Linked DNA regions of Alligator mississippiensis. Each later gene encodes a partner of the first gene's protein in a complex. Links are inferred from orthologs where the notes say so. Each region holds a gene or a part of one and is shown on either strand. Other genes may lie near its edges. The genes, in order: PRIM2, POLA2, POLA1 and PRIM1.

What was found.
Region 2: PRIM2 (region 1) and POLA2 share a complex: the UniProt entries of both Homo sapiens proteins name them as parts of the alpha DNA polymerase complex. The link is inferred for Alligator mississippiensis from reciprocal best matches to the Homo sapiens genes PRIM2 and POLA2.
Region 3: the proteins of PRIM2 (region 1) and POLA1 are in contact, whole or in part, in a cryo-EM structure (PDB 8G9F), measured with the Xenopus laevis proteins. The link is inferred for Alligator mississippiensis from reciprocal best matches to the Homo sapiens genes PRIM2 and POLA1. Residues at the interface, in XP_018121015.1 of Xenopus laevis: Pro34, Pro35, Thr36, Glu37, Asn38, Ile39, Ser40, Leu41, Ile42, Phe44, Glu45, Ile49, Ile107, Phe110, Ile111, Leu114, Cys117, Gln118, Ser119, Glu120, Asp121, Arg123, Ala240, Arg241, Leu243, Val245, Val246, Gln247, Arg251, Leu252; in NP_001082055.1 of Xenopus laevis: Leu842, Lys853, Ile894, Pro895, Glu896, Leu971, His974, Arg977, Glu978, Leu981, His982, Glu985, Gln988, Lys989, Asn991, Glu993, Asn1007, Asn1009, Arg1101, Asp1102, Glu1106, Gln1109, Glu1221, Asp1224, Gly1225, Asp1227, Ala1229, Leu1230, Met1233, Trp1234.
Region 4: the proteins of PRIM2 (region 1) and PRIM1 are in contact, whole or in part, in a crystal structure (PDB 5EXR), measured with the Homo sapiens proteins. The link is inferred for Alligator mississippiensis from reciprocal best matches to the Homo sapiens genes PRIM2 and PRIM1. Residues at the interface, in NP_000938.2 of Homo sapiens: Glu165, Ala168, Ser169, Pro171, Ser172, Phe188, Ala189, Leu192, Phe195, Arg196, Gly197, Arg198, Val200, Tyr201, Leu202, Glu203, Asp204, Gly205, Phe206; in NP_000937.1 of Homo sapiens: Lys147, Glu148, Asp149, Phe150, Gly151, Phe152, Ala180, Val181, Gly184, Ile185, Glu187, Tyr188, Ser190, Leu191, Lys193, Lys207, Ile208, His209, Pro210, Ile212, Arg213.

What each region holds. Positions count from the first base shown.
Region 1 is NC_081824.1:51,528,139-51,535,752, reverse strand, and holds the start of PRIM2 (DNA primase large subunit), read right to left. Parts: upstream 3,010-7,614; 5' UTR 2,995-3,009; coding exon 2,844-2,994; intron 2,016-2,843; coding exon 1,912-2,015; intron 907-1,911; coding exon 827-906; intron 1-826. UniProt on the Homo sapiens protein: Regulatory subunit of the DNA primase complex and component of the DNA polymerase alpha complex (also known as the alpha DNA polymerase-primase complex) which play an essential role in the initiation of DNA synthesis.
Region 2 is NC_081838.1:4,021,855-4,029,507, forward strand, and holds the start of POLA2 (DNA polymerase alpha subunit B), read left to right. Parts: upstream 1-4,640; 5' UTR 4,641-4,711; coding exon 4,712-4,796; intron 4,797-5,069; coding exon 5,070-5,197; intron 5,198-7,653. UniProt on the Homo sapiens protein: Accessory subunit of the DNA polymerase alpha complex (also known as the alpha DNA polymerase-primase complex) which plays an essential role in the initiation of DNA synthesis.
Region 3 is NC_081824.1:315,569,791-315,577,362, forward strand, and holds the start of POLA1 (DNA polymerase alpha catalytic subunit), read right to left. Parts: upstream 3,009-7,572; 5' UTR 2,874-3,008; coding exon 2,846-2,873; intron 1-2,845. UniProt on the Homo sapiens protein: Catalytic subunit of the DNA polymerase alpha complex (also known as the alpha DNA polymerase-primase complex) which plays an essential role in the initiation of DNA synthesis.
Region 4 is NC_081838.1:6,989,132-6,996,484, forward strand, and holds the start of PRIM1 (DNA primase small subunit), read right to left. Parts: upstream 3,011-7,353; 5' UTR 2,952-3,010; coding exon 2,849-2,951; intron 2,767-2,848; coding exon 2,609-2,766; intron 2,330-2,608; coding exon 2,223-2,329; intron 2,135-2,222; coding exon 2,061-2,134; intron 1,755-2,060; coding exon 1,618-1,754; intron 1,467-1,617; coding exon 1,408-1,466; intron 999-1,407; coding exon 889-998; intron 620-888; coding exon 528-619; intron 425-527; coding exon 280-424; intron 198-279; coding exon 128-197; intron 1-127. UniProt on the Homo sapiens protein: Catalytic subunit of the DNA primase complex and component of the DNA polymerase alpha complex (also known as the alpha DNA polymerase-primase complex - primosome/replisome) which play an essential role in the initiation of DNA synthesis.

The DNA.
Region 1 (7,614 bases):
CCCTAAGCTGACAAGGCAGGCACTGCTGGATGAGTCAAACTGCCTAGCCCCTCTTCTCTTTTCAAGCTGAGCTGAGTGGGCAGTCAGTAGCACCTACAGTCAGGTGAGGGCCTGATCTTATTAGAGCCAAACTGTTCACTCCTTGAGTGGGTGAGCTCTCAGCTGACTCAGTCAGTGCAGCTGACTGTTCCTCTGCCTCAGCTTGAGAAGAAAGAGGACTCAGGAAGTTCAGCTCAGCCAACAGTGCCTGCCACATCCTGCAGCAAGGTAGTTAACAGAGCAGCCACAGGTTTTTGCTCACCCCCACCTCCATCCCAAATCCAGCTGCCAGTGTCTTCCCTGCAAAAATACCATACTTACAGCACTTTCAAGGGAAAGCCTCTTTTTCTTCATTCTGCCTTTCAAAAATAAGGTGCATGGGTATGGTATGTAAGACACACAGTATTTAGAGAGTGACCTGTCTAATACTGGGAACAATAGTCAAAAGCACTCAACCCTGACTATCAATGAGTACATAATAGGCCAATGAAGAAGACTAATCAATCCTGAATGCTTTTTAAAGAAACACACTGAATTGGTACATAATAATTGTGGTGATATCTATTTATGCTTCACCTGTGTATAAAAATAATTATCCTCCAGTTTTCATCCTGCACATCACACTTCAAATATGAAATTTTTCTTGACCAAGTTTGTAAACTGAGAAACTGAGACCGCATCTTTGCTTTTCTTTGACTCGGGTAGTCTCTTAATGACCAGCCATCACACGTTAGTTTTAGCGACATGCTAGAAATTAAAATACATACTAACTCAAAAACACACTTACGATTGACAATAAGCAAGACGCAGTATGAAATGAGAGATATGGTCTTTCCTCCTTGCATCGTAATCATCTTCAGCCAAAGCCTGTAATTTTCATAAAAGAGGACATGCATCAGCTTAAAGCAGAAAATTAAACTTTAAAAAAGTTAATTAAATGCTAAACCTCAACTTTCACATCACATAACTCAAAGATATTTATCCTTAAATACTTCGTAAACTGTAACACAGGTGACTGGGGGGGGGGGAGGACAAGAGGCATGCCCCCTCCCTGAGATTGGCCCCCCTACTTGGCACCATGCAGGACAGGGCAGTTTTTTTGCCATGTGGGCCGGTGGCATGTTGGGGGGAGGCACTAAGCCACAGCACAGTATAAGAGTGGATATGAGGCTTTTGGCCCACCCCTGGGTCCACTCACAAATTGTGCCCCACTCCCCAAACTTGGGAGGCACCAGTCACCCCTGGTAACACAAGGTATTAATTACTACAGTAGCTATCCTTTTGCTACTACTGCTACATGAAAACAGCAAGTTAGAATTTATTCTTCATATTACAAAGCCCTACAGACTGCAGAGCATTATCTTGCAGACTCTAGTTGCACTAACTTCAGTACAAATGAAAGATTCCAGACTGACCCAATTAAGTAAGAACAAAAACTGTATTTAAATTATACAGGAAAAAAAAGGAAAACTTGCGTGTATAAAATTGGTTGAATTCTCAAATGTAGTGCGCAGCATATAAATTCTTTAAGTGTATTATTATTCACAACTAGCAAATTTCCCATCAAGAATGACCGGGGCAGGCAGGGACTGAGCCCCATGTCCCACCCCGCTCCTCATCCCGGCCCACTCCACCCTGGCCTCACACCCATCTTCTCTGTCCCCTCCATCATGGCATCAGCACTCTGGTTGACACTTCCTGTACTGAATGCTCTTGGAGCACTCTGATTGGTTATTTCAGACAACCAATCTGAGTGCAAATAACCCGTTACAGACAGACAGACTAAGGCTGTTTTTTATATATATATATATTTTCCACAGGAGATACAATGTGGACACAAAGGTAGGAAAGGTTCTTGTTCCAATTACTTACTTTAAATGGAAATTTAAGTTTTCGAAGTTCATATTCCAGCTTGCTTTTATAGTCATCAGTACCTTTCAGGTATTTCACACCAAGATTCTCAACTACTTTGAGTACTAAAGTAATTTAAAAATAAAAACCACAAACAAAAAGCAGTATGAGCACCTAGTATAACATAGAACAGAAATCTAATTATTGTTTTAAAGAAAGAGAAGAGGGAGGGGGGAAGGCAGGCCAGCCCAGCATTCTACCCAATTTTGGTTTTGTTGAAATGTGACAGTATTGAAGCACAGAAAATTTGGGTTGGGAAGGACCTCAGGAGATCATCTAGTCCAGCTTTTCTCAACCCATGGGTAGCATGAATATATGAAAAGGTTGCAAACAAATGTTAAAACTGGATTCTCCTTCAACCAAGAAACACATGAGAAATGGTGAGTTTTCCCTTGCAAGGGGCTGCTTGGCCCCCCACCTGGGGGCTGGGGCTTGGGGGTCCTGAGTGCATCAGCAGGACCAGGGGGCTGTTTTCTACTTCAGCTACTCACTGGGTGGGGACTGGCCATCCATGTTTACAAATGGGGCTTGGTACAAAAAAAGTTGAGACCCACTGATACAGTCCAATGCCCGGCTCAAAACAGGACCACCCCCAACCAGATAACCCCAGCTAAGGCTTTATCTCCCAGGTCTTAAAAACCATTTGAGGCAGGGAAGGAGGGAGACAAGTGTTTCACATTCACCTACCCCACCCCCCGTACCAGTTTTAGGTCAGGGCTGCTCAACTCCTGACCGGCGGGGCCCCAGCCCCGGCCGGGACCCTGCTGCCCCAACCACCAGGGCTGACAGGGGCCCCAGGCGGCAAGCGAGGCCCTGCCGATGCTGGGCAAAGCACCAGAGCCCCTCCCGCCCCGACGTGCGCTGCTGGCCCGCAGCCGCCCCGGGCCACTCACGGCGCAGGCGGTCCACGGCAAAGCTCTCGAACTCGGCGAGCGAGACGCTCTCGGCCGGCGGCGCCAGATAGAACTGCAGGCTGTGCGGGTAACGCCCGCGCCCGCCCGCCCGCGCCGCCCGCCGCCGGCCCCGCGCGCTCGAGAACTCCATGCCCGCCCGCCCCGACAGCAACAACTGCGCCGGCTTCCCGCGCGCGCCGCCAGGCCCGCCCCGCTTCCGCGTCACGCGCCCCTGACTCCGCCCCCCGGCTGGGCAGCCCGCCCTTGGCTCCGCCCCTCCCGCGCCCCTGCTGCTAGCCCCGCCCCCAACCTGTCCCGGCGGGGCGCCTGCTCCGCCTCCAGCTCCACCCTCGGGCTCCTTTGACTCCGCCTCGCTGGGTTGGCTGACCGCGCGGAACGCGTGGGCCGCGCCATGGAAGGGTGGGACGGGGAGGAGCAAGGGGCGAGACGAGCCTTTTTGTCTACAAGCAAAATGGCGGCGCCCGCCGCACACAGCGACACGGTCCGCCCACGGCTTGTCTAGCGCGCTAGCGGAGACTATGCTTCCTTCTCCCGCGCCCTCCGGGGCAAAGCCGCCTGCGCGGCCCCCGGCTCGGAGAACCGGCAGGAGCTGCCGTACTACTTCTCCGTCGCGGGAAAATGAGTGCAAATGAAGGGCCGAGGGGATGCCAAGGTTGAAAACCGCTGGGCGAAGAGAGCTGGTGCAAGTGCTGGATGCAGACAGCAGTCCCACGAGCGTGTAGGCCAAGCAGAGGCAGTGTGCAACAGGGGTGCCCCAGCCAAAGGGGGCAGCAACCGGCAACATGCGTGTGGAAACGTAGCCTAGCCAGGTTGAATTACACTCCTGCTTTGAGGGGTCTGCAGGCAGTGGCACCTGAGCTGCTTCGAAAGGCGCTGGGTGGGGGAGTCTCATCTCTTATAGGGGGACTCAGTCATCCCCCTCCCCCATATTTCAAACCCTGATCCTAGCCTAGGCCTGCCCTCCCCTGCAGGAAGACCTGCAACTTCTACAGGCAGATCTGTGGCTCAAGGACTGGACCCACGATAGAGATCATCCTCCACTCAAGGGATTGCCAACAACATTGGCAATGCATAGAGGGTGCATGTACACCCCTGAGATTGGTGGTGCACCGCCGCCGACATCTGTGGGTGCTTGCTGATCACTGCCACCGATGCTGCTGGCGGCAGCGTCACTGACCACTGTGCTGCCCCCCCGCCCGCCATCGATGCTGCTGTGGCTGCCTGTGGGAGCTCCCTGCTCGCCACCACCACGCCCCCACCATTGCCACCACCTGCAGGTGGTCACTGTGCACCCCCCCCCAGCCCAGCCTTGGGAGGGCACATGTCGTTCATGGCCCACAATCTCTAAAATAATAAATGTTGGATGCACTGCACGTGTGAACTGCTGGGTCCTCTCCTGCTCCTTTCCCAGCACCTGCTTTCTACACTTCTCTGTCACACCTCACTTTAACCAGCTTCCTTAACACAGCAAATGATCAAGGAAGGGGTGCATGGAAAGCCAGAGCTGCAGCCTGAACCACGTTCACAGAGCATGGCAACCTTTGCATGCTCCAAAGACAATTTGTATATCTGAATGCGCTAGCTCTGGAAACCAGGACCAGGAGCCTGATGGCCAGTAGATAAACTGTAAAGCAACTCTCAGTTCTGTGCACATGACAGTGTAGCCACAAACTGCTCTCGTTCAAATACTAAAGGGTGATTTTTGTTTAATGTTCTGATTCGTAAATAAATGAGGCTGGAAAACTTTTGAAGTCAGTATCTTATCTCGCTTCTCACTCCAGCAGTGTCAGAAATTATATTTTTCATTATAAAATCTAAGAATACAAACCAGTTCTAGAATATATATATTTTTTTTTTAAATACGTTCTCTTTATTTTGAAAGGGTTGCAGTGTCAGAACCTATTAACAGGTCCATGCATTGAACTCAGGGGCAACCAGCACGGTTTCATTAGGGACAGGTCATGTCAGACCAACCTGACTGCCTTTTACGATCAGGTCACAAAAGCATTGTGATTCAGGTGTCGCCGTGGATGTAGTCTTTCTGGACTTCAGCAAGGCCTTTGACACTGTCTCTCACCCCATCCTCATTAAAAAACTAGGCGACTGTGGCATCAAGGTCTACATGGTCAGATGGATTGCTAATTGGCAAAAGGGTCATACTCAGAGGGTGGTGGTGGACGGGTCATATTTGACCTGGGGGGAAGTGGGCAGCGGAGTCCCCCAGGGCTCGGTCCTTGGGCCCGCACTGTTCAATTTCTTTATCAGCGATTTGGATGATGGGGTGAAAAGCAACCTGTTCAAATTTGCTGATGATACCAAAATTTGGGGTGAGGTGGGCACACTAGTAGGGAGGGAAAGACTGCAGAAAGACCTGGATAGGTTGCAAGGGTGAGCTAACAAAAACAGGATGTGTTTCAATATGGACAAGTGCAGGGTGCTGCACTTGGGCAGTAGTAACCGGCAACACACTTATAAGATAGTAAACTCCCTTCTTGAGATCACGGAGGCGGAAAGGGATCTTGGAGTCATCATTGACTCCAAGATGAACATGGGCCGACAATGCGAGGTCACGGTCTGCAGGGCTAACCGAACCCTATCGTGCATCCACAGGTGCATCTCAAGTAGGTCCAAGGAGGTGATCCTCCCACTCTACGCGACACTGGTCAGGCCACAGCTGGAGTACTGTGTCCAGTTCTGGGCACCCCACTTCAAGAGGGATGTGGACAACATTGAGAGGGTCCAGAGGAGGGCCACCCGCATGATCTGGGGACAGCAGGGCAGACCCTACAATAAGAGGCTATGGGACCTGAACCTGTTCAGCCTTCACAAGAGAAGGCTGAGGGGGGACCTGGTGACTGTCTATAAACTCACTAGGGGTGACCAGAAGGGTTTGGGGGAGACCTTGTTTCCTTTAGCGCCCCCCGGGATAACAAGGAATAACGGCCACAAGTTGTTGGAGAGTAGGTTTAGATTAGACATCTGTAGGAACTACTTCACAGGGCGGCTAGGATCTGGAACCAACTTCCAAGGGAAGTGGTGCTGGCTCCTACCCTGGGGGTCTTTAAGAAGCGGCTCGATGCCTACCTGGCTGGGGTCACCTGAGCCCAGTTTCCTCCTGCCCAGGCAGGGGTTGGACTTGAAGATCTACAAGGTCCCTTCTGACCCTACTTCTATGATTCTATGAACATGGGGGCATTCCATTGCTCAGGGAATTTCTCTTTCTGAATTTTATCTTTGAGAATGAAATGTTGTTTAACAGGTATTGGTGCTTTGGGAGCAATACATATATTAGCTTAAGCTTACCTAAATATTGTATTTTTAAACAAAGAGGCGTTAATGCTCATTTTACATACCTCTACTCAAGTAATCTAATGTGTGTTGCATATGTTGTTGCCAAGCCCACAGCTAACCATTGCTGTTACTGTCATAATGCACAACACTACCAGCTGAGGTTGACAGGAAGAGCTGACTACCTGTGATGTGTCTCAACAAGTTACTAGCTCTGCATTGTTCTCGGAGGCCAGTGAAGGTTGGGGAAATGGTCAAACTAGACAGTCTCATGATGTTTCAGGCAAAGTTCCACCCCAAATATATTTTGCCACATACCTTTGCTTACTTCGTGCAAGAGACGAGGATTTGTTAGGGTGATATCATTTACTGGACCAACTATGTAGCTGAGATGAAGTTAGACAAGCTTCTGAATGCAAGACCTTCTATGTGAGAAGCAAAAGACCTCACAAAATTTTTGGGCCATCACCACTACAATATCAGTCTTACCTTACCACACGCTTAACTTACTGCTTCATTCAAATGTCCGGAGTGGTACTGAGTCAAAACAAGGATATCCTGAAGCTTCTGACTTGCAGACAGTCTACAGCCTCATATGCCACCACTTCCCTACTACCACCACACTGCTGTTAGTGTCCTAGCTTTGCAGGCTGAATGGAATTGCTTGGTGAACCAGATTTGACCCCCAGGCCTTAAGTTGCTGTTCTAGACACTTACCACTTACCCATACTACTGCCTGTGTTTGTGTTGGCTTCGTTATCCAGTCTACAGTTATCCAGTCTACAGTAATATTTGATAGCAGCAAAGAGAAAACATAGCTCAGTTTCACATCTTTTTTGAACTGCTCTAGTTTCTGGTAATTGGTCCTTACAAAATATTTTATCCCTGCAGAAGACCTTGATGATGTTGATAACTTCAGTTAGGATTCCACAGGACTGAAGGATGTTCAACTATGTATGTCTGTGCAGGTTGTCTAATGCCTTTTAAAAATCAATGAAAGAAGAGATAAAGAAGTCTGTCATTCTGTGCATTCTTTGATACTGCTTAGGCCCTTGGTAGATGTTACATTTATCACACACCAAATTGTAACATGCTACACATTCAACAAATTTATTGTACCATAAAAATGTGAGACATTTAGACCCGGCTACGTATTATAAATATTACATGCTTAACTGTTTAACTGCACAATACACTTAGACCCGTTACACATGCAAAGTAATGATAACATGCTAAAAATGACTATCCAGCTACACAAAGAGCCAACCAACTATAAAGTTAATGCTTGAGAATGTGTAACTCTGTAGCTAGTTTCTACCCAGCTTTAATTTGAACTTGTAGTAGGGCCCTTCATGTGGAGCATATTTGTGGTGGGTTTGTAGGGCACTTTAATTGGAAACGTGGCGTGTTCAGTCTTGCTTGCAGCCTCGTATATAGCTGCAGGCACCTTTCTAGCTTTGCC
Region 2 (7,653 bases), on another chromosome or scaffold:
GAATGGTGCTAGCTTCCCTGAGATCATGAGACGCTGAGACAGTTACAGCTGAGCTGTGACAGCGGGTACCAGATGAAGTTCCTCCCCCACAGTGAATAACTTGGGAGACAGAAAATGGGCTAATTTGGAACAAGCCGTTTTTGTGACAGAACGAACATTTTGTGCACGTTTTATTTTATTGAAGCTTCAGAAAGAGATTAATCATAAACAAATCTGAGTTTCAGAGGCTGGGGATTTGGGATATTGTTGCCAAGTAAGAATGTTAAATAAGTTTCAACAGCTGAACATTTTGTAGATGCCAGTGCCAAGGTGACAGACTGATCGAACAGTCATGCAACCCAACTGGCTCTTTGACAAGAACAGCGATTCTCAACCTGGGTGACATGGCACCCTGGGGGCCCTGAACATTCATTTCAAGGGTGCTGTGGGATGCTATGCAATGTTAACGCTAAGTGTGCAGGCATAATTCAACAGATAAACCCAGAGAGCATGTCCATATATGCAGGTACGTGCAGCTGCAGCAGCTCAAATAGCAACGGGGCAAATTTGTGCCAGAGATTTTTGTGCCTCAGCACACGTGCCTGAACATGCACTTTGGTGTGGGGCAAATTATGCCACTTAGGACAAACTGCCCAGCTCCTCCTGGATCTTCATCTAGAGGGGAACTAGAGGCTCACCCATGCTGGCCCCAGCAGTATAAAAAGCTGCCCTAGCGACTCAGGGCTACTTGTCCTCAGGAGTTTCTGAGGCCTGGCCAGTTGGTATCTGGGGACACTAGTCCCTTGTGCCAGCTGGGCTGGTGAAGCAGCCCTAACCTAGATGGGCCCCTGACCCCTCTACCTACTGCAGCAGTCTGGCAGTGGGGGCTGCTGCCCAGCTGTGACCTGCTGCCTCCTATGATAGCATCCGCCCCCTTGGACCTGCGGCTCCATGGCTGCATGCCTGCCAGACCCAGACAGGGACCGTGCGGCTGCCTGGGCTGTGCTATGGGCACTGTAGAAGAGCCACCTGCACCTCTGGGCCAGATGCCAGCGGGCTGTGGCTACACAGCTGCCCTTCAGGTGGCACTACTGTCATGTCTTGTGGTATCCCCACTCTACCATCTAGGCAACTGTTGCCCAGAAGATGTGCTCCTTGCGGTGGCCCACTTTGAACTATCAACACGTGTTCTTCCGGCCCCAATTGGCCAAGAGGACAGCCACCTTGTCTGGCCTCCAGTTGGGTCCCTGTGCTGGCCCTGGGCAGGCTCCTCTGCCCAGGTCCCGCCACTTGCCTCACCAGCAGAAATCCTGGGTTTCCCTGTTTAAAAATCGCAAATTCTCTGATAAAAACACCCAAATTCTCTCATTAAAGTACTCAAAATCTGTGTTCTTTCACAATTAAAATAAAACGCCACTATATCTAGAGAGATCACTTAGGCAATGTTTTACTGATATATTCACAGTTTTAAGGCAATTTGGAAGCCTACCAGTGCCTTTATCATCATAATAAAACAAATTCTAAAGATCTAAACAGTTTGGCATTTGCTCCTGGTTTTTTATCATAGAAAAATCAGAGCTGCCTCCGCCCCCTTGCTCAGGGACTGGGTTAGGCAAGCCCCTGCTGTTGGCGAGTACCAAAATTGTCCTGTAAAAGTGGTAGGAGTGGGCCTAGGGGTCAGTACAGTCAAGGTCTTGGAACATATCACTATTTGTTACATTGTAAAGTGGGTTCCCTTCATGCGAATTCGAGTTATGCACCATTTTCCAGGAACACAAAACAAGGGAAACCTGTACCATTTAATAATACAGCTTTGTGCAATATTTTTTTAATCTTGTATTACCTTGTGCTCTCTGCTACCCTTCATTTCAGGATCACCGCGGCCTTTTATAAACAGCATTTAATCTTTATGTGAGTTGTATTTCCTCTGTGTTTCCAGGGAGTGTAATGTAAGTGAGGTCACCCATACTTTGCATTCAGCAGTAGACAAGAGTCAACTCCAGAAACCCCAGCTCCCTGCCCTGCGTTGCACTTCCTTCAAATTCTTGGTATCAGCTGAAACACAAAGCTGCTCCTTTGTACTTTTAATCTCCATGCAGAATTTCTACTTTACAAAACTTTTTAACAGGTAGGTAAGATATGGATTCCCAGCACATGCCAGTTGTATAACCAGCATTTTTCTGCTGAAAGTACCTCCTGCTTGCTCTAACGAGGACTTTTCAGTCCTAACAAGTGGATGATACCAGGATAGGGAGGCACCTGGTAAAGTAACTAAATTAAGAGAGATGTAAGCTTTTGTGAGCCTGACCTTAATTGCCAAATAATTAGCCAGTATGGTTAAGTGAAACTTTAGTTTTCAGGTCATTAATTGTCCCAGAGATGACAAGGCTTGGAAGCAGGGGTTCAGAATGAAAATGGAGAGCATAGTAGACCTAAAACCAGCCTTTCATTTAGTCTAGAGCACTCATGGTCTTTCCCCATAGCCCATTCCAAAAACAGAGAGCATCCACAAAACACCAACAGGAAATGTTTACAGCGGTGCAACAGTGACAAAAAACTGGGTCTTACCTTTCCTTCTGAAGACAGCAAGGCTTGACATCATTCTTTTATTTCTTCTGGATGAATTTTTGGAACTCCAGAAGCTGCTGTCCCGTGCTCTTATAAGCATAGTAATCTCAGTGACCAATCACCTTGGTTGGATGAGTGATATTTCCAGACCCTGCACTAAAAAAGCAACCCCACAACCTTTGAAATAAATGCTGATTCAGCAGGAAGGCACTGATATTTGTCTGCTGCTGATGTTATGTCTTGTCTTGACAGGATTGCCTTTGTAAGGCACCAGGATGTTGCATACCACCCTGTTCTCCTGGGCAAAGGGGGCCTTGCCAGCTCCTTTAGTGGTGTTTTCTGAGAAATTATCATACCCAGATCAGGTAAGCAGCATTGCCAGTCTTTGAAAGGCCTTTATTTAATACTGAGGTTGTGACCCAGTCTTGGCCTGGGATAAGAAACAGCCTAAAAGAGACTGTATGTCAGGAAAGTAATTTCATATTGCCACCAGACAGCACGTCCTCCTTTTTTGGCAGATAGACAGGTTTATTACTGAAACGCCCCTGTCGCCTTGCCTTGCTGACAATCGGCCACCTGAGAAATTTCAATCTGGTTTTCGTTTCAGGTCATAGCTCTGAGGTAGGTCTCGGGAGAGTCTCCTGCTTAATTTATGCCCCCTGACTCTTGTGCTTATTAGGCTGTTGTCATCCTGTTTGATCCACCAGGATCTGTTCCACCATCCACCGTGACTGAATTCTGCTTGTTCATGGTGGTTCCACGTCTGTTGCTGTCCTTCTGCTCCTGTCACATCTCATTACATTGCACCAGAGGGCTCCCTTGGACAGCACTTCCTTCTCAGAACAGACATCCAGTATTTTGCAGTCTGTGCTGTCAGCGTTAAGCAGGTGCACGGCTTCATTAGTCTCTCCTGATGCACTTGCTGTCCCCCTTTCCCAGCTGTCCTCTTCTGAACTCCAGCTCAGTATTTAAGAGGAGAATCTGAATTTTATTGGAGCCTGACCAGATCAAACATTGCTCCTTATATGTAAACAGCACCGTACCTGGGGTCCTGGTGGCCCTGGGCGAGCTTTTAGTGTCAGGGCCCCCTTTGCCAGAGATAATGATAACAATAATTTTTAAAAGATCATTTTCTGTCCAGGATCTGGGCAGCCGCTCAGTTCACCTATGCCTGCGTCCAGCCCTGTATGCGAATACTTTCTAGACACCCTACATACACACGCGTCTGTTCCTCAGAAGTGGGATTTTGAGACACAAACACGCGCTTGAAACTATACAGATTTCTTCATGCTCAAGCAGCAAAAAGCTGTTTTTAAGTGGGTTTAATCCTCGCCTCCTCGAGCACCTGGATTAAGACATGTCCGCAGATGGAATACAGGCCGCGGACGGTGTTCGCCTCCAAAACAGATCTTTATAGTAGAAAGACATGGATGTTTAAACCAGTGGCTCGTCAATGGATTCATCAAGTAATCTTCCTGGTAGGGGAGCAGCCTGCTGGGGGAGGAGAGAGCCACTGCAGAAAATCCACCCCTCTCTTCAAGCTGCCCTCTGGTCCCGGTACCGGGTGGCGGCAGACAAGAACCTGCCCCGACAGGCGAGTTAACAGTTGTAACTGCCCCCCACCAAGGGGCTGGACCCCGACTGCCCCACTGCAATGCCACCTCCCAGCAGGTGCCATCACTACACCTGCCCCTACCCCGCAGCTTCCCTCCAGCTCCGCCAGGGGCTCGTCCCCCTAACTGCCCCACCCCCCTCACAACTGCCCCCAGCCCGCGCTTTTCCTCACGTTTCCCTTCATACAACTGTCCCCTCCCCCGGACACACCCTCGCCCAACTGCCCCCTCAGGGGGTCCCTCACAACTGCCCCTCCCCTACGCCTTCCCGCCTTTTCGCAACGCCCCGCCCCTCCGAGCGCCCGCAGCCGTTGGCGCCGCGCGACCCCGCCCACCGCGCGCTAGCCACGCCCCCTCCGAATACCCCGACACCCCCTACATTGGCTCCCCGGAGGAAGCCGCGCCCCGCGCCCTCTTTTCCCCGATTGGCTCCGCAAAACAGCCCCGTCGGCGGTCCCGGGGGAGAAGCCCCGCCCCCCGGCGCGGAAGTGACGTGCTGTGGCGGGTGTTTCGCCCGCGGACGGGCCGGCGCGGCGCGGCGCGGCGCCGCCATGGGGCCGGTGTCGGCCGAGGAGGTGCTGGACGAGCTGAGTGTCTTCGAGCTGCGCTGCGAGGGGGACGAGGTGCCTGGGAAGCGTGAGTGCGGGGGGCCGGACCCCGGAGGGTTGGGGTACCGGAAGTGGGCTGGGGGGCTCAGGGTGGGGCGTGGGGGGCAGAGGTGCCTGGAAGTGCCAGGCGTTGGAGAGCGTGGGGGCCAGAGCGGGCCGGGATCTGCAACGAAGGGCATGGAAGAGTCACTGGATCTTCTTCGTCTCTGTCCCAACCCCCTTGGCCGCGGTGTGGCGTCTGCCCGCTAGTCCTGTGCGAGCTCCTCCGTGCCCAGGGCCTTTAACACCTCTCTCCTTGCAGTGGTGGAGCTGTGCGCCACGCACAGGCTGACCGCGGGGGACTTGGCTAACGAGCTAATCGCCTTCTCTACAAGCAAAGAGCACCGCGCACTTCTCACTTTGGATTTCCTGACCATCTTTGAACACGAGGTGAGGGTGAGGGCGAGGGGAGGCTGGCTCGCAGGCTTCTCATCCCTGAAGGCTGATTCTTCTACTCTGTTCAGCAACGGGGAAGGCTCTCCTGGAGTCCCGCGTCCAGTTCGGGGTCCTGCCCTTTAAAACGGAGGGGAGGGGGCAGAATGGAAAGAGTCCAGACCCGGGTGACCGAAATGATGAGAGGCCGGGAGACAGGACTGGTGAGGACGGGCAGGGTCTAATCGCAGTCTGTCAGAACCTGGAGGGCCATGACGGAGAAGATGGAGACGGGCTTTTCTCCGTGGCCACAGGGGACAGGACTAGGAGTAATGGCCTCAAGCTGCAGCAGGAGACATTGAGGCTGGAGATTAGGAGGGGCTTCCTGAACAGGTTAGGGACTATTTAGAAAATCTGGATGTATGCAAGTCCAGGGGCCAGATGGGATGCACCCGAGGGTGCTGAGGGAGTTGGCTGATGTGACTGCAGAGCCAGTGGCTGTCATTCAAAACTCGCGGCTCAGGAGAGGTCCCGGGTGATTGGAAAAGGGCAAACATAGTGCCCATATTTAAGAAAGGGAAAAAGGAGGATCCAGGGAACTACAGACCTGTGAGCCTCACCTCAGTCCCTGGAAAAATCATGGAGCAGATCCTCAAGGAATCCATTCCTAAGCACTTGGAGGAGAAGAAGGTGTTTAGGAGCAGTCAGCATGGATTCACCAGGGGGAAGTCCTGCCTGACCAACCTGATTGCCTTCTCTGACGAGGTGACTGCTCTGTGGATGTGCGGAGACCAGTGGATGTGGTGTACCCTGATTTTAGTAAGGCTCTTAATCTGGTCTCCCACAACATACGCACAGGCAAGCTAAGGAAGTGTGGGCTGGATGAATGGACTGTAAGGTGGTTAGAAAACTGGCAGGACCATTGATCTCGGAGAGTAGTAATCAATGGCTCGATGTCTAGTTGGCAGCCAGTATCGAGTGCCCCAGGGGTTGGTCCTGGGGCTGGTTTTGTTGAGTGTCTTCTTCAACAACCTGGAAGATGGGATGCAGTGCTTCCTCAGCAGGTTTGCAGATGAAACCAAGCGGTGGGGGAGGGGAAAGTAGATGCACTTGCAGGGTAGAGCTAGGATTCAGTGACCTTGACAAATTGGAGGATTGGACCAAAAGGAATCTCCAGAGGTTCAACAAGAACAAGTGCAAAGTCCTGCACTTCTGTTAGAGCAATCCCATGCACCAAGACAGGCTGGGGGTGACTGACTAGGCAGCAGCTCTGCAGAAAAGGACCTGGGGGTGACAGGGGACAAGAAGCTGAACAGGAGCCAGCAGTGTGCCCTTGTTGCCATGAAGGCTAACGGCATCCTGGGCTGCATTGGTAGGAGCGTTGCCAGCATGGCAAGGGCAGTGATTCTTCCCCTCTGTTCAGCACTGGGGAGGCCACATCTGGAGTCCTGTGTCCAGCTGTGGGCCCCCACCACAGCAAGGATGTGGACAAATTGGAGAGAGTCCAGTGGAGGACAGTGAAATGGTTTAGGGACTGGGGGACATGACTGGTGAGGAGAGGCTGAGGGAACTGGGCTTATTTAGTCTGGAGAAGAGAAGACTGAGGGGGATTTAATAGAAGCCTTCAGCTCCCTTCAGGGGTGTCCAAAGAGGCTGGAGCTGGACTGTTCTCAGCAGTGGCAGATGACAGAACAAGGAGCAATGGGCTCAAGCTGCAGGAAGGGAAGTTTAGGTTAGATATTAGGAAGAACTTACTCACTAAGAGGGTAGCAAAACACTGAAACAGGCTCCCCAGAGTGGTTGTGGGATGTTTGGAGGTTTTTATGACTCGGGTAGACAGTCTTGTCTGGGATGCTCTAGTTGGGGCTGGTCCTGCTTGGAGCAGGGGGTTGAACTAGATGTGACCTGAGGTCCCTTCCCACCCTCACTTTCTGTGATTCTATGACTGAGGGTGGTGAAACATTGGTACAGGCACCTAAAGTGGTGGAGGCTCCATCCTTGGAGATCTCCAGGAGCAGGCTGGATGAACACTTGTCCGGGATGGTGTAATTGGGGATGATCCTTCCTCGGGCAGGGGACTGGACTAGAGGCTGGGTGAGGTCTCATTCAGCCTGACTTTCCTATGATCCTAAGCTAAGCACCTAATGGAAGGTGCCTTTTGGGTTGTGTTGGCAAGGACTGTGTCTTTCCCAAACTGTGGTCCAAGAGACTGATGCACAGCTTACACAGCATGCTCTCCCCACAGCTCTTTGACAAGGCTGATGGGAAGGGTGCGTGGTGCCCACTGGAGAATTTTGAGGCCCAGAAAGTTTGAAAGCTTTTAGCCAAGGCTCAAAAAGGCTGGGCTTGTGAGGAGAAAAAGTGAATGCAGCAGGGTGCCTTGAGAGCCTTTCAAGGGTGCTGCGGGGTGCTGTGCAACGTTAGCTTCATTAGGTGTGCAAACATGATTTGCAGGATGAACCCAGAGACCTCCG
Region 3 (7,572 bases), about 260 Mb from region 1:
ACCCAATTCTTCCCTCTCCTCTGAAGTTGAGCCAAGGGTTTGTGGAAGCTTCAAGCTAACACAAGACACTAAGGGTTTTAGAGCTCCTCACTTCCTACTGGAAGATTAATGCCTGTCTCCTGCTCCAACAGACTGAAATCCAAGGGAGATCCAAGGGAACTGTGGAATGGCTGTAACCTGGGTCACCTAGCCATTATGCTCCTTCCCTGTGTGAGGTAAGCCTGCCACCATGATGGAGCAGATGACCCCACATAGTACCCTTAAAAGCCAGCCTCTGGGACCTTTAAGGGTGGCTTGATGGGTTATTAGGTCCCTCACAGTGGCAACAGAGAGGATAAGCCTGTACAGCAAGCACCCTTAGGGGTCACTGTCATCTGCTCTGTACAACAGAATCACACTGTTGAGATTATCCAGTTTAAATTTTATGATTCTTTTTCAGAGACAAAAGGCTGACAAACAGAACAATAGGGTAGACAGACCAGAAATTCATGCCGGTAAAGCAATATGTAGTAAAAGGCAAAAGACTTATAAATGTTCTATCACAAAAGGTCCAGATTCAGTAAACAGATCCCATTAGTAGAGACTCGTTCATGTTAGACGAGCTCCAACGAGATGAAGTTTTCTGCAGGCAAGCTAGCACGAGACTTGCCCTAATCCACGTTATAGGTCCAACACCCTAGCTAAAAGTTAAATGTGACTTGTCCCCCACTACCTGAAAAGTCCATCCAAGGGCAAGGAGAGAAAACTGTAAAAACATTCATATTGAAACAATTATTCCCACCAGAACTTGGGTACACAAGTATGCATGCACAGTATGAAATGTTTTCTGACAATCCAGTATGTAGTCAAATAAGATACAAGACTACACTGGTCTCCGAACTAGAATGCAAATTTTTTGACGAAGGATGAGACTGGCAACTTGTATGAACTACATCAGGGTACCTTCTAAGTGGTCAGGAACTGCACCAGTGGGGACCACATGCTGTGGGAGCCACGGGCCCTATGCTGTACATGCATGGGTGCTCCCCCATGCACACAACACCTGTACAGGTGTCCTCCAGCCCCACTCCCCTGCTCCCTACTGCACTGCACACGGTACCCTGCTTCACCTGCAGCTACACAACCAAAGGACTGCCCCACTGCACCATGCCCCCCGGGGAACTCTGGGTCTTCAACTCCCCCAGCACTATGGACTGCCCCTCTGGGGCTGGGCCAAGCAGCAGAAATCAGAGGAGGGAGCAGGAGCACTGCAGCTAGAAAAATAAAGGAAGCAGTGGCCAGGTGAATCACAGGTTAACCAATCACAGGCCACATGCAGCCCACAGGCTGCCAGTTGGCCAGTCCTGAATTAACATCAAGACCATCAGCTCTGTCATTTCTCACTTACAAACCTTGACCACCTGCTTAATTTTCAACAGGACTGATTTTGATTTGTGTTGCCCAAAACACTGGCCCTGCTTGTAGTATGTGCACTAAGATGAGACTGCTGGAACTGGGTGGGAGACACCATTAACTTAGCAAGCTGCTGCAATTATGAAGCTACAGAAAGTGTCAGAAAAATCGTGTGATGTAGCATGCATGTGCTTCAGCACCAGTTACTTTGCAGCAGCTTGGAGGAAAGCATGGAATGAAACCACCATTCGGAATAAACACCTAATTTCCAACCCAACAACAAAGCCTCCTGGTTTTGACCTTCTGTGGAAAATATGGAAGGCTGTAAATCGGATCTGAGCTGGAAATGGCCACTGCAGTCACCTGATGCACAAACGGGATATTAGGAGTTTTGCAAAATATGATTGTGGCAATCCTGATCAAACTATGGACCACATAACACTGCCCTCTATACAAATTTGACAGCAGCATTGTAGATGCATTCCCTTTCCTCAAGTGCATTAGATTGTTTAACTAACCTTAAACTGGTCTTATAATTGTTGCTCCAAGTCAGCCATGTGAAAGAAAAAAGCAGACTTTGCATATGCAGAGCTTTTTTTTTTCCCCTCCAAGCAAACCCACAGGAGATTCCCAACCCCTGGGCTGCTCTGATTCTACAGGAGGAAGAGGAAGAAATCCAGGGCTAAGGGAAGTGATGCTGCCAAGGCAGCCAGGAGCCTCAGCCCCACTGCACCAGCACCCACATGGGACACTCACGCAAGCTGCTATTCTGTTACCTGTGCCCACACAAATGAGGGGACAGGAGGGAGGTGTGTGCATGTGTGTCTGTGCGCACGCATGCATCTGTCTGTACGTGCCTGCGCATGCATGCCTGCATCTGAGTGCACATGTGCCTCTGTGTCCATTTGTGCATACCTACATGTGAATGGGTGCCTGCAGGTGCACACGCCAGTCTCATTGCACATGCACCTCTGTGTCTGTGTATGTGCGCACATGCCTACATACACATGCACACCTGCCCAGGTGTGTGCCCACCTCCATGCCTGTCTCACGTGTGCCCCCACATGTGTGCACATGCGGGAATATATGCATGAGCACACGTCTGGACGCATGTCTATGCATGTGCACACGTCTGCCTGAGGTATGTGTCCATGCGGTGCGCGCCTGTCTGGGGGAGTGTATCTGTGCCTGCGGTCACCTGCATCTATGCGAGCCCCTGCCTACCCCCACAAGTGACGCGTTGTGCAACCCCTCCCAACCGGCTCGGGGGCAAGGGAGAGCATGCAAGGAGGAAGAAGCACCAGGTTTCAAGGCCATGGAAGGGCTCCCACCCAGAAACGTGCAGGCGCCGCTGCAGCCCGTCCCACCCGCCCGCGCGCGCGGTGCAAGGCGATTGGGAGAGGGAGAGGGGGAAGCCGTGCGCGAGCTCCCGCCAAGGGTTCGCCGCTCTCACCCGCGCGGCCGACCCCGCTCTCGGCCATGACGTCGCCCGGCGTCCCGCGCGGCAAAGCGCCTGAAAGTGGCGCGAGAGGCCTCCCCAGCGCCCCGGCCGGCCCGCCAGCCAATCACGAGCCGCGGAGACTCAGTCAGGCCGCAGCCGCCGCCGCCGCCGCCGGCCCGCCCCGAGGTCGAGGGGGAGGAGCTGGAGGGGCGCGCGGGCGCGTTCGGAGCTGCGGGGAAATGCTGTGTTTCGCGGCTCCGCCGGGCGGGTACGGAGCGGCGCGCGCGGGCGGGCGGGCGGGGAATGGGAGGAGGAAAGTGGCTGCCACCGCCCGGGGGTGCCCGGGAGGGGAGGATCGTGCATTTACACGTATGTATACATGCATGTACACACACGTACTCCCACACGCATAGATATCACACGCACATGTAGGGGTGTGTGTGTATATATAATACACACATATACATATATATGTGTGTGTGTACATACATATATATACATATATTTGTGTGTGTGTGTGTATATATGTATGTATGTATATATACACATATCTATCTGCATGAGTGTACATGTGTGTAGCTGTACATGTAGGGGGTGTGGGTGTACATGTAGGGGATGTACACACACACACACCCTACATGTACAGCTACACACATGTACACCCACACACACACAGGTGTGTGTGTATTATATATACATACAAAAAACTAGAACTCTTGGTTCCAAAACGATACCTTTTTGTTAGACCAACTGGAAAATGGCAAAAAAATTGTCCTTTTCTGCAAGCTTTCGGGATCAAAGTCCCTTCATCAGGCTCTGGGAAAAGCGTAGATGGTACAAGATGGTAAAAAGTCCCCATAGGTAGGAAATAAATTTCATTTTTGCACAGAGGGAGCTGAAGATGGAAAGCTGTCCCTCTGGGTCCATGAGAGTGTCTTTGTGAGCTGTGCTGAGTAGCTCTTTGATGTGTTGATCAGGTAGAATTCCTTCCCTGGAGGTGTCAGATGGTAGGGAGGGAGGTAAAAAAAACCCGTTCTTGTTGTTCTGCAATGAAGTTTAAAATCCAAAATCAGCTAAAATTCAGCATCTTCTATGTTTCAGGGGTGTACTTGGTGTACACACACCTACATGTTCATGTGTGTATATATGTGTGTGCACATGAGTGTATGCGTGTGTGCACGCATGCGTGGAGGTGTAAGTGGCTGTCTGTGCACATGCATACACTCAGATGCATGCACACATATATACATGCGTGCACACATCTATATGTACAGCCACATACACCCTTCCATCCCCGACACAGATGGGCTGGAGTGGCACAGGTGCTAAAGCACGGGGTTAATAGCCCAGAGTTTGGAAGTTTGAGGCCATAGCAGAAGTGCACTTAGCGCAGCCCTGTGAGGTACCAACGAATCTGCAACTTCCACCAAATATCTTGTCACACAAGAACCCGAAAAAAGGAAAGGACACACACACACCACATACACCCCCACACATACATGTGTATAACAAAACATACACATCCCCCCACAGACACATACAGATATGTACATATACATATACATCCAAATATCCATACCCCACATACACACACATTTTTATATATGTATATACACAGACACACATGTATACACACACGTGTGTATGTGGGGTATTTATGTGCGCACACACATATATACACATATACAGTGCTTGGAATAGCAGAGACTTGGTGGGAGCTCGCATGACTGGAGCACTGTCATGGATGGGCACAAACTGTTCAGGAAGGACAGGCGGGGGAGAAAAGGAGAAGTTGCACTTTATGTAAAGGACCCATATGATAGCTCAGAGTTCCTGTATGAAACTGGAAACAGGCCTGTTGAAAGTCTCTGGGTTAGGGTCAGAGGGAAGAGCAACAAAGGGGATGTTGACCACCAGACCCGGCAAAGGTTTTTAAGACCCAGGTAGACAAAGCCTTGGTTGGGTTGATCTAGTTGGGGATGGTCCTGCTTTGAGCAGAGGATTGGACTAGATGACCTCCTGAGATCCCTTCCAACCCTCAGTTTCTATGATTCATTGTATATCCACATACACATCACACAGGAATCTACACAGACATGTATACCCACATACACACACATGTACACCCACACAACTGACCAGACATCACATGTTAGCTTCTGGCAGGCAAAGAGCCCAAATGGGAGGACAATTTTTTTTGGTAGCAGTAGAATAAGGTGAACTCTAGAGAGTAGAATAAGGGGAACTCTGTTTGGGAGACCTTTCTGAAAGAGGCCCAAACTCTGCTAGCAACACCCAGTTTTGCATTCCAGGATCTCACATCCCAAGCAGTGAAATACACTGACATTTCCTGGAGAAGCCTCCCCAGATAGAGGTGCCCCCCAAACACAGGGACACCCAGAATCACAATGGCATTCTGTTTTTCTAGCAGTTGCTGTACTATGCTTCTCAGATATAAGATTTAAAAAGGAAACCTGAAGACTACAAGTGAGAGAGGAACAGTAGAAAAAAAACCCTGATCTTCCCCAGTTCACTCTCTCTTTTGGCATCCATTCTCTGCCACTGTGTGACAGGCCTATTTGATGTTCATTGGGAGCACAGGGCCAGTGCCCATCAAGTAAAGCTAAAAGCCCCCCTTAATCTAGGGTTCCGCTAAGGCTAGAGACAGGTATTCAAAAAGCCTGAGCCTGAATTGATTCAATCAATTAGCCTTTTACGACCAGGTAACACACTGCCTTGACAGTGGAGCTGAGGCAGATGTCATCTACCTGGACTTTAAGAAGGCCTTCGATAGTTTTGCATCCTATTCTCATAAGGAAGCTAGCAAGCTGTGGAGTAGATGCTTACACAGTCAGGTGGGTGGCAAACTGGCTTAGGGACCGCACCCAGAGAGTGGTGGTAGATGAGTTATTTTTGGCCTGGAAGGAGGTGGGCAGTGGTATCCCGCAGGGTTCAATCCTTGGACTGGTGTTATTTAATATCTTTATCAGCAATTTGGACAAGGGTGTGGAGAGCACTCTGTCTAAGTTCACAGATGACACCAAGTTATGGAGCAAAGTTAACACACCAGAGGGCAGGGAGCGGATACAGGCCGATCTGGACAGGTTGGATCAATGGGCAAAACGAAACAGGATGCAATTCAACAAAGACAAATGCAAGGTGCTCCACCTAGGGAGGAGGAATCCCCAGCACACGTATAGGTTGAGGGATGACCTCCTCAGCAGCTCAGCGGCTGAAAGGGATCTTGGACTCATAGTTGACTCCAAGATGAACATGAGCCGGCAGTGTAATGAAGTCATCAACAAAGCCAATCGGACCTTATTGTGCATTAGCAGATGCATAACTAACAGACCAAGGGAGGTGATGCTCCCACTCTATGTGGCATTGGTCAGGCCACAGTTGGAATACTGTGTCCAGTTTTGGGCGCCGCACTTCAAGAGAGATGCAGAGAATCTGGAGAGGGTCCAGAGGAGGGCCACTCACATGATTAGTGACCTCCGTACAACACCCTACAAAGGGAGGTTGAGGGATCTGGATCTCTTCAGCCTTCACAAGAGACATCTGAGGGGAGACGTTGTAACAGCCTATAAGTTTATCAAGGGAGGACAACAGAGAATTGGTGATGCGCTATTTACCAGCGCACCCCTAGGAATAACTAGGAATAATGGATACACACTAGTGGAAAGTAAATTCAAGTTAGACATTAGGAAGAAATTTTTCACAGTAAGGGTGGCCAGAATTTGGAACAGGCTGCCAAGAGAGGTGGTACTGTCACCTAACTTGGAGGTCTTCAAGAGGAGGCTAGACAGGCACCTGGCTAGGGGCATCTGACCTCGGTCCTCTTTCCCGCCAGGGGCAGGGGCTCGGACACAATGATCCTTCGGGGTCCCTTCTGACTCTACAATCTATGAATCTATGAATCTTTGCAGGTTAATCTAACATGGCTAGGCCGAACTGGTTTGAAACTGGACAGACATGCTCTCTGGACTGAGGAAATTCAGGCACATGCCTTCAGTGGCTCAAGCTAGAAGCTGGGGGGGAGCTAGAGCAGCACTCCCTTCCCTTCTGCAGGGAGCTGAGCTGAGAGGTTGTGGCCAGGCCCCAGCAGGATGCTCTCATTAGGGACGTCTTTCTGCATAGTCCCAGGCTTTTCCCCATTGACTCCTCAAGAGGCGGGAGTATTACCAACCCCCAGCCCGGGCTAGCACTCTGAGGCAAGGGGGAGTGTGCAGTGCATGCATCTGTTGATCCGTTTTCAATCTCTCTCCCTGCTTCATCATACTGTCTGCAGCAAACTGACAGGAGAGCAAGCGGGGTGGTGGCAGGGACAGGGGCTAATAACAGTCTTTACCACCCAATTAGCAAAACAATAGCCTCTCTCCACATTACTTCAAACTTCTTAAACAGCTTACTGGCTGACCTGTTGATTAGCTCCAAAAGCCCATATTCTGTCTGCCTATCCCAGTGAAATTGGAGAGAGACACACATACAAACACCTCTCAGCACTAGCTAGCATACCACATGCTGGCTACAGTCCCTGCTGTGGCAAAGAGGAGGAAGGGATCTCTGCTTAGGCAGTGAGTGGTGAGGGGGGGTGGAGCGGGGCATGGGGAAGTCAGCAGACCCTGCTGTGCCTGCAAGGTTGTGCTGAGCTCCAGCCAGGGAGCAAAGGGGAGGGGCCAGCCCTGCTGTGGAGCAGAGAGCCCTGCCCAGCCCAGAGAGCATGTCGGGATGCTGGG
Region 4 (7,353 bases), on another chromosome or scaffold:
ACCTGGTACAAGGTACTCCAGAGAGTAGGAGGGGACTGACCAGAAGCCCCTAAGGCCACTCTGCTGCTGGGGTGGCCCGCTCGGGGCTGGGCAGAGCAGCCTAGAGGGGCTAGTGACCCACAGCTACCTGATGGTGGGGACGGCGAAGGGGTCGAACTGGTCCAGCCGCTGAACATCGATAGGGACTGAAATGCGACCTGCCGGGGGCAAAGTCCACATCATGTCCAGGCTCACCAGGGTCCACTCCCTGCCCTGGGGGTCCCTTCCCCTGGGCTGTACCTGTCTTGGGGTGGACACTGAAGGGGCTCTTGAGCAGGTGGTTGAGGCCCTTGCTGACGTTGCCGTCCAGGCGTGGGAAACAGAACTGCAGCATGATTTCCTTCTCTGCGTAGGATGGCAGCTTCTTCGAGCTGCTTGAGGACTGCTGTGGGGGCGGGGAAACAAGGACAGTTGAATTCCCCCTGCACCCAGCAGTGGCCTGCCCCCCTCAACAGCCTCCCAGTGCCCCCTGCCCCCCAGCTTCTCACCCTGGACTTCTCGACGAGGGCTTTTAGCCGGGCCCAGCGCTGCACCGAGTCACGCTTCCGGGGAAAATCCTGCTGCAGCTGCTCGCGCAGGGGTGGGCACCAGCTAAGGACTGACAACATTGCATGGACCCCCCACCCCCTCAACCATGCGTGGAAGCACGGAGGTCTGCACCGAAGCACTAGATGGACACAGATGTAGAGCCTGTAATGCAGCATGTGTCAACACGTGAGCATGTGCACACAAGCACGGGCACAAGCTCTCCCCTGCATGCTTCTCTGGCCCTAAACATGCAAGCCCCCACCGCTGCCAGCCCCTTCCCCAGGCAAAGTGAAAGGCAGCTGGAGCTGGGCAGAAGGATATGCTCTGGGACGAGGGCCAGCACCTTGTCCCAGCTCTCACGGCTGCCCAGGATGTCCTGCCCCAGCAGTGCATACTCCTCAAAGCGCTCCTCCACCAGGCGCAGCGACTTGCTGGGGAGAAGCAGACGGGATGGTGGGGTTGGCTCCCTGGAGGCCATGCCTGCGGCCCTCCGCTCCCAGGACGCTGGGACCCTCCCCTGGCCAAGTCTGTGCCTACTTTGGGACTGCGGGGACATTTCCAGCTGTGGGGGGTACCAATAGGGGTCCCTTGGGGGCACCCCCACCCTGGTTGAGGGGAGGCCATAAGGGAGCTACTGCCCTCCAGAGAGGAACGGGTCTCTTTGGATCCCTGCTGCCTTGTTCCCAACAAGCTTGTCTACTACGCCTGGTCCCCGGGGGTGGAGCGGCACCCAGGTCAGGCAGGAGGGAGCTGCCAGCACAGGGCAGAGTGGTCCTGGCACTGGGGTGAATCAGGCCCACGACTAGGGCCTGTCAAGGGGCTTCATGGGGGGGCACTAACCTGATGAAGGGGTGCACAGGGTCAGAGAGATTCACCTTCTTGACAGTGTCAGCCCCACCCTGGGCGGGGAGCAAGAGGAGATGGTCAGGATGGAGCAAATCTGCCCCAGGCCCGGGTGCCAGGCGACAGCTCCCAGCACCTGGCCTGCCTGGAGCAGCTGCAATGGGGGACTGGGGTCAGATGCAGCCCCCAGGAGACCCCCTGCCGCACCTTGACCAGGCTGAGGTAGTCGACGATGGAGGAGCGCAGCGAGGAGGACCACTTGCGCACAGTGTCGTCGCACACCCAGCAGTGCACGCCGCGCCGGCCCGAGTACACCCAGAGGCGGTGCTGCACCCCCAGGTCCTCTGTGGGGCACAAGGTGTGGGGTCAGGCAGGGCCTGCTGGGGGGGAGGAGCACCCCCCAGTCTGACCATTGCCCCTCACTCCCGGACTCCCAACCTGCAGCCCTTGCCCCCCTCCCGGACAGCCCTTCTGGTGCCCCTAACTCCAGACCCGCAGCCCCCAGTCCTGCAGTAAGCAAGGCTGGGCCCAGGACAGCGGTGCTGAGAGCCCCAACTGGGCAACTGGGTTCCTGCAGCCGCCACAACTACCCTGATACAACCAGGAACCACGGTGCTGCACCCCCCGGACCCTGACGGATGGGTACTTGCCCACAAGTGCTCGGTCGAGGACGCGGATGGCGATGGTCATGAGGGTCCAGCACTTGGAGCAGATCTCGGCCGAGCTGCAGGGAGGGAGGCCATGGGGATGGCACTGGCTTTGGACACACCAGTGCTGACCCACCCCCACGGCCTCCAGGCCCCGGCGAGTACCTGCAGCACCCGCGGACGTCATCGTAGTCGGTCATGTCGATGTCGAACACCAGCTCCTTCTCCTGGGCCTGGAAGGCCCCCGAGCGCAGTGCGTTGTGCTGACTCGGCTGGGCCGGGAGCGACAGGTCAGCGCCGGGGGCCGCCGCTCCGCACCCCGCACGTCCCCCACGGAGCCGTCTGGCTTCTGGGGGCAGATGTAGCCCCCGCCCGGCTGCCTTGGAGCTGAACGCCTGCCCCGTGACCCCTGCTGCAACCCAGGCCTCCGACTCCGGGTTCTCCGCCGGGCGCCGACACGGGGAGAGACCGCGACGCCCGGGCTCTGCCAGCGCAGACGGGGCCAGGGCAGCGCGCCATGCCAGCTCAGGCAGCCCCGTGCCCCAACTCACCCGGTGCGAGTACACCGCCCCGATGTCCACCTTGTAGGGGCAGGTTTTCTGCAGCTCCTTCTCCAGGTCCTGCGGGTGCTCGAAGCTCTGGTACCGCACGTAGATGTCGTCGCGCAGCGTGAACGAGAACTCGCGGCGGGCGAAGTAGTTCTTCTCCACTGCGGGGGGAGCCGCCGGCTCGGTGCCCGGGTCCCCGGCCCCGCTCTCCCGCCCCGGCCCGGCCCGCAGCCCCGCACTCACCGCCTCCGTAGCCGAGCCAGCGGCCGTAGGGCCCGTGCGGGAAGAGGCGGCGATAGTAGAGCGGCAGCAGCTCGGGCAGGGCGCTCGGCTCGAACCCCGCCATGGCCCCGGCGGCGGCGCGCGCGAAACCGGCCCCGGCCCGGGCGGCTGGGAGCTGTAGTCCGGGCCCGGCCCCACGTGCAGCGCCGAGCCCCGCCCCGCCCCGCCCCGCCCCCGCGCAGCGCCGGGCACCGCCCTGATCCCGGCCCCACGTGCAGCGCCGAGCACCGCTCCGCCCCCGCGCAGCGCCGGGCACCGCCCTGATCCCGGCCCCACGTGCAGCGTGGGGCAGGGCCGCGGGACCGACCCCAGGAGCTGCTGCCCTCCAGCCCCCATGAATCCCTGGCCCCGAGGCCGCGGGTAGAGCCGGCCCTAGGCAGGACCTGCTGACCTCCAGGGCGATTAATGATCACCCAGGGCAGTGCCGTGACCCCGCCACCAGCCAAGCAGCCCTCAGGACAGTGTCCCCGCCACCAGATGAGTGGCTTTGTGGAAAAGCGTTGGAGCCGGAGCCAAGTGGCACAGGGGGCAGGTGGGGGAGCATGGGGGGTTTGCATCCAGGCCGTACCTGGGGTGGTCTCGCACAGGCATCAACCACCCCTGCCCTGGGCAGCTCCAGGCTGGAGGCAGCTAGGGCAGGTAAGTGGGGGGGGGGTGGGGAGGCCCCAGTTCTGTCTGGTTTCCCCCAGACATCCCAGCGTCAGGGGTGACCCCAAAGGGAAAAGCAGGAGTGATCTTGAGCCCAAAGCTGGCGTGACCAGAACTAGGATCATCCAGGGGATGGGCACGGGAAGGGGCAGGGATCCCCGGGGCAAGCCGAGATACAGATTACCAGCGGTGAGCTGCCCTGTGTTACTGCCAAGGGGCACACTTGTACCCTGGGGTAAAGGTGGGTGCCAGGTCCCCATGCCCCATGCCTGCTCCAGAGCTTGCAGCTGGTCTCTTGGCCATGAGCGAGGCTGGGGAAGGAAGGGAATAACAATATTTTCCTCCATAGTGGGTAAAAGTCCAGTGCTGAATTGCAACTGCCTGACTGGGCCAGCTCCTCCCAGGCTGACAGGCACCCAGCTATTGATGACTTGCGAGGAGCTGCTGGAAACCTCCCCAGAGGTGGTCGCATTTGGACACAGCTCTGACCTCAGGTGGCTGTTCCCCCACGCCTGTGAAGATGTGGCTGTACCTGGTGGCCCTGCTGGCGCTGTACCTCCTGTGCCGATGGTACCGGGAGCGGCAGACGGTCGGGAACCTCCCGGACAAACATGTCTTCATCACGGGCTGCGACTCCGGCTTCGGGCACCTGCTGGCCAAGCAGCTGGACGGGCGGGGGCTGCGGGTGCTGGCGGCGTGTCTGACGGAGCAGGGGGCCGAGCGGCTGCGGCAGGCGACGTCGGGGAGGCTGCAGACGGTGATCCTGGATGTCACTCGCTCCGACAGCATTGCCGCGGCCACTGCCTGGGTGAAGGGGCAGGTGGGGGACCGAGGTGAGGCTGCTGTATCCCTGGCACGATGCATCCCGAGTCCGGGGTGGGTGACACTGGGGTGCAGGGAGAAAATCCTCTGTGTTTCCTCCTGCCTTTTCCGGGGCAGCTCTGAGCTCCAACAGGAGGGGCTCTGTGGGGGCAACGGGGAAAGGAGCTGCCGGCAGAAGGGAGCGAGGACTCCTGGGTGCTGTGTCCCACTTTGGAGGGGAGCGATGGGGGGTCTGGACTCTGGCGTGGAGCCACATCATAGGGCGAAAGCGCTACATTGAGGGCAGAGGAGGGTCTCAGAGGGTCTGTTCAGCAGTAAGCCCAGGGCCAGGATGTTGGCGGCACTGGGATTCGTGCCCGAGTGGGGGAGTCTCCCGTCCCATCTCTGCCCAGGCTCACTCCCTGCCCTCACCCCGCAGGGCTCTGGGGCCTGGTGAACAATGCCGGGGTGGTGCTGCCAGTGGCCCCCAACGAGTGGCTGAGCAAGGCTGACTTCGTCAGGGTGCTGGACGTGAACCTGGTGGGGCTGATCGAGGTGACGCTGAGCCTGCTGCCCCTGGTGCGCAGAGCCCGGGGCCGCGTTGTCAACGTGGCCAGCATCCTGGGCAGACTGGCCTTCTGTGGTGGTGGCTACTGCCCTTCCAAGTACGGTGTGGAGGCCTTCTCCGACTCACTCAGGTAATGCGGGGCCACGGGCTGCCCCTCGGGCCACGGCGTGGGACGGGAGGCATTTGTGGGGCTGTGGCGAGGCGTGACGGCTGCCTCTGTCCCAGGCACGAGCTCTGGTCCTTCGGGGTGAAGGTGGCAATGGTGGAGCCGGGCTACTTCCACACGCCCATGACACACATTGAGAACAACCTGGGCTGCCTGAAGCAGGCATGGCAGTGTGCCTCGCCGGAGGTCCGGGAGAGCTACGGGCAGCAGTACTTCGAGACCCGTGAGCACTGTTCTGTCCTCTTCGGGGCGAGGGGAGTCAGCGGGGAGGGGGTGCTTCCAGAGGCAATAGAGGGGCCAGCACATTGTCTGTGGTCTGCTCCCTGCTGTCTCCACCGCCCTGCAGCCAGGGCCTCTTCTCCTGAAGCAGCGAGCACCCCTTAAAGGAACCATGTGTGCATGGCAGGATCCAAACAGCCCCCTTTGCCGGCTACATACAACACGCCAGATCATGCTACGTCATGCCTCCCCGAGGCTGCATGGGCCGGTTCGCAGTGAGCACTGCTGGAGGGCTCACCCTCATTTAGCAGGATGCAGCTCTTCCCAGGAGCCCTGCGGCAGTGACCTGGGGGAAGCCATAGCAGAACACGGCTGGGTGTGAGTGTTGCGTGCTGAGTGCCCCTGCAGCGTGTCTGTGTACATGTGGGTGGGAGAGAAGTGACTGCATGTTGCCAGCCTGCTCAGACCCTGGCCACAGGCTGTCTGCAGACTCGGGCACGTGCCTGCCCATGCCCAAGGCTCTGCCCCGGGCTGACCCCCCACCCTGGCTCTGCTCAGTCTACAGGCTGTCCCAGGAGAAGCTGCAGAAGGGGTGCAGCTCCAACCTACCCCTGGTCACCGACTGCGTGGAGCACGCGCTGACCGCCCAGCACCCCCGCACCCGCTACTCCGGCGGCTGGGACGCCCAGTTCTTCTTCATCCCCCTCTCCTACATGCCCACGGCTGTGGCCGACCTGGTGCTGACCTGGTCTTGCCCAAACCAGCCCAGGCTGCATAATAGGAGGTAGGGGGAGTCTGAGAGGTGGGTGGCATCGGAGCTGTGTCCCCCACTTAGCAGAGCTAAGCCCCTCACTCCCTACAGCCAGGGACCGGGTTCCTCGGCTTAATGCTTCTGACCAAACCCTGCAGACACTTGTGGGGAGGGGGTAACAAGTGATTAACAAGCAGTTAGTGTGCAAAGAAAACCCGGAGGAGTTCCCAGGGGCACTGCAGGACGCTTGCTAGCCATGCTGAGACAGGCAGAGCAGCTGAGTATGGGGGACTTACTGCACTGGGGTAGGTGGGACTCTGTCGCTCCGGGGCTGGGCAGGGCCCTGGTGCTCGGGCTCAGGTAGCAGCTCTGGTTCCCCTGGGCTTGTTCTGCAACAGGGAGAAAGGGAGAGCTCAGGGCAGCTCCTGAAACGGGGACCCGCACGGTGGCTTCTAGGAGCTGCCTGGGGAATAAACACAGCCAAGCAGTGGGGAGCTTGTGCAATGCTGGGGACCCCAGTGATGTCCAAGGTCATGCAGAACCAGCCCAGCCCGTTCGTGGCCCAAAAGGCCCCAGCTCCAGGGGACCGATTCTCCCCGCAGCCTCTGCAACAAAGCTGCAGCAGTGGTGTGAGTGGGCACGTTGGACAGGGGCTGTGTCTTCCCCCGAGGGGCTGCGGCATGGGACGTATGAGCTCTGCGCCAGGCTGCAGCCTGGTCTGCCCCCCGCTGCCCTGCATCTGTACCAAGCTACGCTGTGTTTCCTGGGGCTCCCTCTGCCACCTGCCTGCTGGCGCCCACCTGCTCTCGCTCCTAGACTGTAAGCTCAGTGGGGCAGGGCATATCTCCCGGTCCCGTTTGCCTGGCGCCACAGCATCCCGCTCACAGCAGCGCCCACAATAAAGGAACTGCCCCACTGAATCCAGTCTGCCTGCCAGGCCAAGAGGGCAAGGACTCCTTCCCCCGAGGAAGCCTGATTTTCCGTGTTCCCTGAAGAGCAGCAAACGCCAGGGTCACATCTCACGGTCTGGTAATACAGAGGCTAACGCAGGTCATGCGTGAGCTCCTAACTGATGTGTGTGGGGAATGGTAGGGATACGGGGTTGTTACTGTCTGCAGCACAAGCCCCACTTGGATCTCTCCTTGATACCAGGCTAGGCCGTATTGCCCTTGCTGGCTGGGACACTGTTCTCCCTCCCATAGAAAGCCCCATGCACAAGGCTGCAACCTCATTAATAAGTGGCCACTGGAGCTGGGAGTGATGAAGGAGTCCGGGGCAGTTAATTATTGCCCTGTTGTTAGGGAGGGTGCCCC